Schizosaccharomyces pombe: one gene and its partners. Changing the gene in region 3 together with the main gene of any one other region gives a genetic interaction. Each region holds a gene or a part of one and is shown on either strand. Other genes may lie near its edges.

What was found.
Region 1: of alp13 (region 3) and pfd4, changing one enhances a phenotype caused by changing the other (phenotypic enhancement), as found in Schizosaccharomyces pombe (2 studies listed by BioGRID, with this or other methods).
Region 2: of alp13 (region 3) and pfd3, changing one enhances a phenotype caused by changing the other (phenotypic enhancement), as found in Schizosaccharomyces pombe (2 studies listed by BioGRID, with this or other methods).

The regions. Positions count from the first base shown.
Region 1 is NC_003424.3:503,805-506,915, reverse strand, and holds pfd4 (prefoldin subunit 4), read right to left. Parts: upstream 1,008-3,111; 5' UTR 933-1,007; coding exon 561-932; downstream 1-560. Other genes in the region: yip5 (Rab GTPase-binding protein), read right to left, coding at 1-373; atg10 (autophagy C terminal domain family protein), read right to left, coding at 1,324-1,863; yea6 (NAD+ transporter), read left to right, coding at 2,823-3,111.
Region 2 is NC_003424.3:600,317-603,362, forward strand, and holds pfd3 (prefoldin subunit Pfd3), read right to left. Parts: upstream 1,203-3,046; 5' UTR 1,170-1,202; coding exon 1,159-1,169; exon of another isoform or gene 1,110-1,158; coding exon 1,011-1,109; intron 967-1,010; coding exon 567-966; 3' UTR 510-566; downstream 1-509. Other genes in the region: SPOM_SPAC3H8.08C (transcription factor), read right to left, coding at 1,744-3,046.
Region 3 is NC_003424.3:1,586,424-1,590,187, forward strand, and holds alp13 (Clr6 histone deacetylase complex, chromodomain subunit Alp13/Eaf3), read right to left. Parts: upstream 2,155-3,764; 5' UTR 2,129-2,154; coding exon 1,200-2,128; intron 1,151-1,199; coding exon 1,066-1,150; 3' UTR 905-1,065; downstream 1-904. Other genes in the region: SPOM_SPAC23H4.21 (uncharacterized protein), read right to left, coding at 1-50; SPOM_SPAC23H4.13C (uncharacterized protein), read left to right, coding at 270-440, 521-904; centromere localized protein Cnl2, read left to right, coding at 2,532-2,968, 3,040-3,169; thi4 (bifunctional thiamine-phosphate dipyrophosphorylase/hydroxyethylthiazole kinase), read left to right, coding at 3,677-3,764.

The DNA of each region.
Region 1 (3,111 bases), 1.1 Mb from region 3:
TTATAGAATAGCCACTTGTACCATGCCCTGTGGCATAACGAGCGTATTCGGTAATTGAGTTGGAAAAGAATAGAGCCTGTATAACCGTAGTGGTTATCCAAAAAGGACCGTATAAATCGGGACGATCATCTACAACATCAAAGAAATTTACAGTGGGAATAAGAGTATGTATACATCGTTGAACCACATCTTTAGTTTCCACGTTAAATGAATCTTTGATGGTCCATGGCGTCTCTTGCATGGATGCGCGACGAGATTGTAATCTAGGGGCCGGAGGCTTTGTAATGGGAGTTCTCTGCTTATAAAGGTCTTCAGCCTCAAATGTTGTACGACCTAGGTCAGCTTCCGAGTCAATTTCAATCTCATGTGCCATAGTGGTGGTTGGATACTTGTAATGGCTTAGGGTGAACAAAGAAGTTTACTTATTGGAGGCGCTAATTGCATACAGATTTGGTATTGTGAATAAATTTAAATGCATGAAATGTTATTTAATTAAAGAAACTAATTCAGAAAAATAAGATGAAGCTTCTAATTTTGAGATTTGCTGCTTTTTCCAAATCTTAGTCTAGGTTAATTTGATCGTGAAATTTAGAGTACAGCATTGATTTCAACTCTTGAATGCGGGTTTCGTCTTTTTCCATGGAAGATCTTAATACGTCGACTTGCTTTTCCAAACTTTCTTCTGACTGCTCAAGCTGGTCAAGGAGTACAGGAAGGGAAACTTGGAAAAAGGCATCGCCAACCTTTAAAGCTGGAATATCGTCTCCATCATCCTCGTCTAGTAATTCACATTCATTTTTAGCGTCAACAATATCCTCTATTTGCGTTTTTAAATTCTTAATATCAAGTTCTTGAATGGCCTTTCGAGAATGCAACACTGAAAATTCATTTAAATTCCTTTGATCTTCTGCTAGAACAGGAACTTGTTCCATATTTGTTGCTAAGGTGTGTTAGGAGGAATAGTATATAACCCGGTTTCGTTTGTCTTAACAAACAATTGTTGGTGTAGAGATCAATGCGGTCAAGTAGAGGTTTAAGTGGAACAGTTGAATGATATGTCAAAACAGAAGGATTATTAATTAGTATAGTATTTTATCTACAAATTTAAAGAACAAAAGCTATTTTCTACAATTGAGGTCTTCAGATCCGTAATGTTTTTGCTGTCAAATAACAGGTCAAAATTTTACTATAGATTCACAGGGTATTATAAACTAAAACCAGAGAATACGGATTAAATTGACTTTTAATTTAGTTTTAATCATGGGGAATAATATTTAATAAGACAAAGTCTTAGCAAGCATACCCGTTTATAACAGGTTATCTTTAGGATTTTTCGGCATCGTCAACTGCTTTTATTATAGGCTGAGTTAGCGGAGAAAGGACTTGATGAATATATAGCAACCAAAGAGAGAGATACTTGGGATCCTCTTTGTCTATCTGAAGCATTTCGAAATAATCACGCGTACGACATGGATGGATATACCATGCTATGCCTACTGTACCTGGACAGTCCCCAATAGCAAGAGCGTCATATGCTAAATTTTGACTGGATCCTTCTAATAACTCAAAAATCTGTTCCATCTTGGTAAGAGGATCTGATCCGTTTGCATAAGGTTGAAAGAAGAACTGCGGGACTTCGAAGGATGGAGAATCCCTAATCCAGGCGTGCATAGTGATCATTGGATTCATAAGGCTTAAAATATCATCTTCTTCCTGCTCGTATAATAAGGAATCATTTTTATCAAGTAGCTCAGTATGCCATTCTAACTTCAAAATACACTCATCAAACTCAATCAACTCACAAGAAATACCACCTTTCGACAGCTTCTGAGCAAGGATAAGTAATTGAGACTTAAAGCTCATTATTGTCACGGTTAGCCAATTTAATCACTTTATCTTTGCTAAAGCAATAAGTAATTGAAGAAGGAATTATTGTCCCATAAGCCTGGCTACAGTCTGATTGTTCAACGCACTATTCCAATGAGGGCAATAGAGGCAATCACCTGTCAATATATTTGAAGTTAAGTCTCGACAAAAATGGTGTTTCAGTTATTTACAAGTATATTAATTCTACATCTTGCTTCTAAAGTTGACAATAAGAGTATGACAAAACAGTACGTTGGAGTTTACAAAGTTATCCAACAATATAGTGGTACACTGTGTAGTTACTACGTTTTCAACATTTCTTCTCAGCAAATGTAGGATTTCTTAAAAAAATAATTTTTTCGACTAGAAATTGGCGGTAATCAAGAGAAGCTAATGTATAAAAACAATATGTTTGGACTTGGAAAAAAATGAAAAACTAAGGTTTTATATTAGTAATTTCCTCTTAATACTTATACGAGCAAAAGCAAAAGCAAAAGCACTGTTCCAATGGTGCTTATAAAGCCAACTGATCTGTGAAGTAAAATTGAGATATGTGTGTAAAGCTGTTAGCAACATCAATGTCACCATTATATATTGTTAATGGGCATTACGACTTTAATCATATCTGATATGCACATATAAAAGAAATTCTCTTTTAAGGGCATGGAACGTCCTCTCAATTAGTAATTCGGAGACATTCATGTCGTTAATGTGGTTTACCGCACAGTGATTCGACTTTCTTATTGACGGCTGCCAAACACTTTACTTACATATATGTTGTTGTACAGCTTCTTACATCAACGCTAAAATATATATACATTTCCAATTTGAAACATCGTAAGGCGTTGGATCGTTCTTATCAGCGTCTAAAAAAGTAAAGAATTTGTCAAGGTCTATTATTTAATTGCTGTTTTCTTTAGATGCATGCATTATCATCAGGAAATTGATCCGTCTTTATGGTTGATGATTCTCTAAAGGATGCTATAGCAGGAGGAGCTGCTGGATTGGCCTCTTCTCTTGTAGTGGCACCTTTAGATGTAGTAAAAACAAGAAAGCAGGCACAAAAGGCTTTTTATTCAACTGGTGGTGGAAAAAATACAATGGTTTTGGGTGGGACCCTCAGTTCGATGCGAACAATTTTTCACAATGAAGGCATCGCCGGTCTTTATAGAGGTGTTGGACCCATGATGTTAGGTTATCTTCCTAGTTGGTCCATTTATTTTGTAGTCTATGAAAAATGCAAAG
Region 2 (3,046 bases), 990 kb from region 3:
TTCTTTACAATTTGTAAAATTAATTTGTATCACTAATTTTGAAGGAAGCTATTTTGGTATTAATACCGCTTTTGGTCTCCACTTCCTTTTCGAAACTCTTAACAGCGATTAGGCCGGGTATCTTCCAGTGTGATGTATAGGTATTTGTCGTTTTTTTATCATTTCCGTTAATAAAGAACTCTTTTATCCAGCTTCTTACACTGTCAACTGTTGTGAAAGGAACACATTTAGAATTTCATTTTCCTTATTTGTTGTGATTTAAATCGTTTGACATAATTTTAAATTTGGTTTGAAATGTGTGTGAGAAGGCTTGTTTTATTCATTTAGTTTATTGCTTGTTTGCACGAAAATCCAGAACGGAGCATTAATGTAATCCTTTTTTATTCTGTAAAGCGTTTTTATACAAATGTTGGTTATACGTTTCTAAAATAAGAATATTGTTATAATAATATAGTTTTTTCTATCATTTGTTACACACACTAAAGAGACATTAAGGATAAGCAAATGTGTTAAAATGATAATATATTTTGGAAACATTTATAAAGAAATTAAGCAGCTTTGACTAACTACATTTTTGTTTTTTTCCTAAGCAAAACTGTATAGTTATACACGCGAGCTGTATTCACTTCCATTGTAGTGACTTGAGCTCTCAAAAATTCCAAATCTTCTTTACATGCTTTCAATGTTTCTTCCGCTGAGTTCAGCTTCTGCGTTAACAATGCTTCTGCCTCTTCAACCGTATACTCAAGCATAACATTTGCACCTAACCAAAGGTAGACATTGTCTTTAGCTTCTACTTCTGCTTTTGCATTTAATGTGTCATTTAGTTCATATGTAACAGTAAAAGAGTCACCTTGTCGCTCTTTCAAGAACTGAACACTCTGTAACGTTTTTCGAATGTCAGGAATTTTGTCATCCAAACTAGCAACTCTCCTGACCACACTAGTCTCCATGAATTTGTACTTTCTAAATTACATTATATTAATATGAAATAACATATATATCCTTACGCAATTGCTTCTTGGAACTTTTCGAGATGACCTTGAGCTTCCTCCATAGATAACTCTTTGAACTCAAAAAATTGAGCGGGTGGAATTCCCCGTGGATTTCTATTCATATTAGTTATTTTTTTAAAAAGTATTATACTTCAGTACATACGAAGAACTCATTCTCTATGCAACAGAAAAAGGGGCGGTTGTTTTGAACAGGTAACTGAGTGTCAAAGGTAATAGGTATAGTAATGTTACAAATTTGGAAATGCGTATTATTCCCTAATTACCAAATCTAACCAAGTCTGAACTACACAGTCTAAATAGGCAGAATATTTTGGTTATACACATGTAATTGATAATTGTTGCAAAATCTATTCATCCAATTTACCAACCATAACCTGTATAGAACCATTGCGCAGCGTAATGCATTTTCATTTGAAAGTACTAGCGAGAGTTTTATATCACTAAACTTTTTAAACGTTTTTTAATTACTTGAAATCACATATTTTAGTTAAACATATTCTGTTTGGAAAAGGCAGTTTTGTTGAAAAAATTGTATTTGAAAGACAACTTTATAGAAGGATAGTAAGAAAGTTAATTCCTAAATGGTCTATATTGAACCAAAAATAGTTACATTAAAAAACGAGAGTCATTAAAAGAGCAGATAAATTTGACATTAGAACCACTTTGGAACATTAATCGAAATTTAATCAATCATACAAACAAAAAAATTACAAAGTGCTCGTTTAGGTCACTGATCAAGAAGGGCGGACGGTATAAAGTAATTTGAAGTAAAATCAAAAATGTCAGCGAATAATTTAGAGGGATCCTCCGTGGTTTCAGGTTCTGCATCTTGCATAGGCGGTTCATTTGGGTGTAACATACTGTTGATGAATCTTAAAACATATCCAAATCGGACAGCCATGCCATCATCAAATGTTACGATATCAACCATTCTTTCTTGTACATATAATGTTATGTCACCTAAGTCAGAAGGCACCTCAAAGCCTTTATCACGGCAAAACGCAGCCAACATGAGGGCGTGGATAATCTCCAACAACGCTACCAAAAGCCAGCCTCGTTTTTCTAATATAGTGATTTGAGATATGAGTAGCCTCACGCACTGAATACAACTTTCACCCAAATTACCAATAATAGTTTCTTCATCTTCTAAAATCCCTGAATCCAGGGTAATAAAACATTGATACAAATTCACACGTGCAGTCCAGAACACCATTTTCAAAAATATGTATCGAAATTGAATATCTTCATTAGAAGGGTCATAAAACTTTGCTTCTATATCTACCAAAATAAGCGAAAGCTGTGATTCATAACTCTCCAGTTTATCAATGAATTTACTAACGGTGAGTGAATGAACAGATTTATAGATTGAAACACCACAATCAAGTAACCTTCCAAGAAGTAGATGAAAATTGTAGCTAATATCGTCATTAAAAAAACAACGAAGCGGCTTGAGACGACCATAAGTGTCGTGTTGAATGAATGGCGGACGGTACTTTAATACACATTCCAAACCATCAATTTCACAGAGAGCAAACCACAAATCTGACGTATTTTTTCCTATTTTTTCCGTAACTTGGAAGAGGGGAGTTACTAAGGTTGATACGTGAATGCTTCTACATAAGTCAGTATTCACTCCTCTTATTCTTGTGCGAAATTTTGTTGCATACGCTCGCAAAAGCAGCATCTGAATTATTTCTTTATCAGGCAAGCATAAATGTTTATATTCCTGCTCGGATATCTCGTTAAGTTTTAAATTTATAAGACGGCTGGATTCCAATGGAGTAATCCCCGCCGAATTATAAAAATTGAGAATAACATCAGGCAAATCGCTCAGCTGGATAGTTGCAGCAATAATTGGTAATAAAGTGAAGGCATCTTCGTACGAAAAAGATTCTGGTGATTCAATGTTGTTTAAGCTTTTTTCTACTGTCTCTTGATCATAAATAGGACAGACAACATTTAGTGTTTTAAAAAATAAATTAACAATTTTCTGTGATATGCAAAATGGCGGTAAAAGGTTCGCCAAACTC
Region 3 (3,764 bases):
TCACCGTTGTGCACGCCACATTTTAAATCGAGATTGGAAACTTGATACATTTTAATAACAATCCGTTAGATATAACAAACTTATTCATTTCATTTGTTCTGTTAATTTTGCAAAGTTGCTTTTTACTGCTTCGTATTAATTTCGAACAATCAAACTACTTATTCCGCAACACTATATGCTTAACCATCTTTTTTACGCTTATCATTTTCTTCTTCAACTGGTTTGATATCCATATTTTCACTAGTGCAAAATTTTCGATCATTCTAAAAATGAGTTCGAACAGTGCTGTTCAAAGCAAAAGTCCTTTGCTTCCTAAAGAAAATCCGCCTGTTAAAGCTTTTCCAGATAATATACAAGTTTCGTCCAGCTTATTGTCCTTCTTAATTTACATATTATATACTTTTTCTATCAGTGGTCTCTCGACTTTCGTTATTACAAAAGTAAGTACACATTCTTAGCAAGTTGTGGTTAGTTTTTATATTTACTGGTTCTTATTTACGTCCAACTCACCAAATTCTAGTATTACATACGTCCTCAATGGTTATACACATTGGCCCTTAGACGGGCACTCATAAAGCTTTATTACAATTTTATGGATGGATTCAATAAGCGGACTGATACATTACAACATCGGGTTGACGATAAAAAAATTTTAAAAACAATAGAAAAATGGAGTTGTATTAAAGAAAAATTGAGAAGAGTTGCCAATATAACTGAACAGGAGCAGCAGTGTATCCCGGCAGAAAGTTCGTTAGACCTGAGCATCCAGGCAATGAAAGGTGTCGTAAATGCAGAACTTTATCAGTTTGGAAGTCAAATTTCTGGATCTTTAGAATTTGATACTCCAATTGGCAATTTGCAGAAGCAAATTGTCTCTTTGAAGAGCAAAATGATTAATATCTGAATATTAAGGAACAACATAATAATTGCATGAATTCTCTGAATGCCTTATGTTGGTCCTACTGCATTCTATAGATAATAGTGTATTATATCTCAAAAAGAAAACGTATATATTTTAGATTACCGTTTTAGTTATCTTTGGGATAGATGCAAACGATCATAATTTTATACACCAACCAAAGATCTATAGTTTGGAGGGGCGTTTTGATATTCTTTAATAAAATATTCATCTTTATGTAGAACGAGATACCTAAATAAATGGTTAGTATAGTAGGGGAGTTTAAAAGCAGTAAACATACTTCAAGAATTCTTCAATGTAATTCAACAAACACTCGATGGATTGTGAATCCATATTAGTCCGGTCAATCAATTCAGGAAGGCTTACAAACAAGCGAATTAAATGTTCGACGCCATATAAATCACACATTTCAGTATCAGGATATTGCTGCCGAATTTCTAAATATTGCTGCCGTTCAAACCGATACAGCAGCATATTGCCCAAGCACTTATTAAAGTATATAACCAAACCAGCCATCGCTTGTTCAAAAACATCAACGTCTATTTCATTGTTCAAATGAGAAATCTTGGATTCTCGGAAGGCCGCTATAGCAGCCCGGACGGTGGGATTCCGCGGTATAGCTATTAACTGTTGATTTTTGGTAATGTTTTCCCAGTCATCAACAAGCCATAGCTTTAGAACGTCCGGGACACTAATCTTGTGTTTTGGAAGCGGTGGCTCTTCCTCAAAATCGTCTTTCTCGTTATTCTCGGGCTTAGTAGTTTCCTCGTTTTTAGCATCGGTTGTTCCATCGCGTTTCACTTGTTGAGGAATTGGAGACTCTGATTTTTGGGTTTTTATACGTGAAGGCAATTCATGTGAATCGCCATCAACCGTTACGGTGCTCGATTCTCGAGACCTCTTTCCTGATGTTTTAACTCCAGTTGAGTCATGTTTCGAAGTGCTGGATGCGGACTTTTTAGAAGTCGGTTTTTGTCTCGTAGAGATAGCGGCATTTTTTAACTCTTTCTGAGTCTTTAAATTTTCTTCTGTCCATTGTAGTATCCTATCTTGTTCAACCCATTCATCCCAACTGTTTTTCCATCCTTTATAATGAATCAGGTACGTGGTAACATCACCTTTCATTTCAGTATCAACAATTTTAGCCTCATAGAGTAACGGGCCGTGAAAGCATAGTACACGTTCATTCACCTTATATGACACGGCCATTCCAACAACGTTGTAGGTATGGTGGTGAGTTAGAAGTAAGAGGACGTGTGCCAAAACAGTACACTTAGCAAATTTATCCTACTTTGAAGGAGTTAGCTATTTTGTTTTAAAAATTATCTAGACCCATTAACAAACGGTGGGTGTAACAGGATACTATCTAAGCAACAAATTCATTCATCTGCAAAATGCTTGGAGAAAGTGCTATCAGTAAGTTACTGTTTTAGGATTTTTAATGATAAATTAAAAATAAACTTTCATTATGTTCAGCAAATACGTCCCAATACGCATTATAAAAAATGCTTTAGTCAAAAGGATACTTTAGGAAAAATTAGCTTTTCTACATGAGTTTTCATCAAATGCTGCGTTTCATTTATTCAATTTACTAATATCTCAAAGGTTGCTCATGAATATGGAGGAACAAATACTTAATGATTATCTTCTTTCTCAAGGGCGGTTGCAGTCTATTATAAGCTTAGAACAATGGCGGCAACTGTTTCCTCAGAGATACAGAGAAGACCCACTGATTGAGCGTTTATACGAATACTGTACACAACAAAGACAAAAGCGATTAGCAAAATTGAGAGCTAACATCCATCTCGAGAGTCAAGTTATCGGCAAAAGCAGAATAGATAGGATGTTGGCAACAAATGTTGAGAAACTGCAAACGGTCAGTCATGCCTCTACATTGCACGATGTAGAAGAATTTTACACATCACATAGTGCAAAACCGCTGGACATAAGTGAAATCAATGAGCGGCTTTCTGAAGCTGTGCAATCTGCTTATACAAAATTAAATGAGGAAAAAGAGCGCTGCACACAATTGACTCTTAAAATGAATAGGTATGAGGTTGATTAGGAATTTGGGTTGTTTTAATTGAGCTTTATTTAGCTTGCTAATAATTTCTTTCTAGTCAGATTGCATCCCTTAGCGATTTTCAATGGTCAAAAGAGCCAAACGTTGACGAGTCAATTCATCTTGTAGAATCTTTAATTGAAAGTTTAGAAAAGGCAGCACCTTCTGCAATAGAAGAATTAGACTAGGACCTTCAAACGTTAAGCTGTTCCATATTTATTCAATAATATAGCTTTAACGGGTATTTATTACAATGAATGAATTTTTTTTTCTTTTTAATAATTAAATATAACGTTATTCTGCACCTTTTTAATAAGATATATCTGTTCCTTTATAAACTCATTTCATTAAAACCTGTTCAAAGTAATGCGAATATATTTTCTTCAAAAGCATGCAGTATTTGTTCCATTTGACAAACTACATTTTAATAGAGTGATTAAAATCAGTTATCACTAACTTGTCGTAGCACGCATCCGAACCATGACTAACACAGTATAAAAGATGGAGCAAAATTTGCAAACATAGTTTGTAACACTTTCGCCAAATTCTTGATTAAATTAGGATAATATTCAATTTTCATTTTTCTTAGCATAGAAAGATTGAACTGTCAAATTTTTGGTGTCCGCAACATAATCTGGCATTTCTAGGATTTTGTTTACTTACTTGACTTCTATATAAGAACTTTTATACCAAACATGAAACGTCAAATTGACTATTCTTTATACCTTGTAACTAGCTCTAGTTTAATTGCCCCAGGTTCTACTATAGAACGTCAGGTGGAAG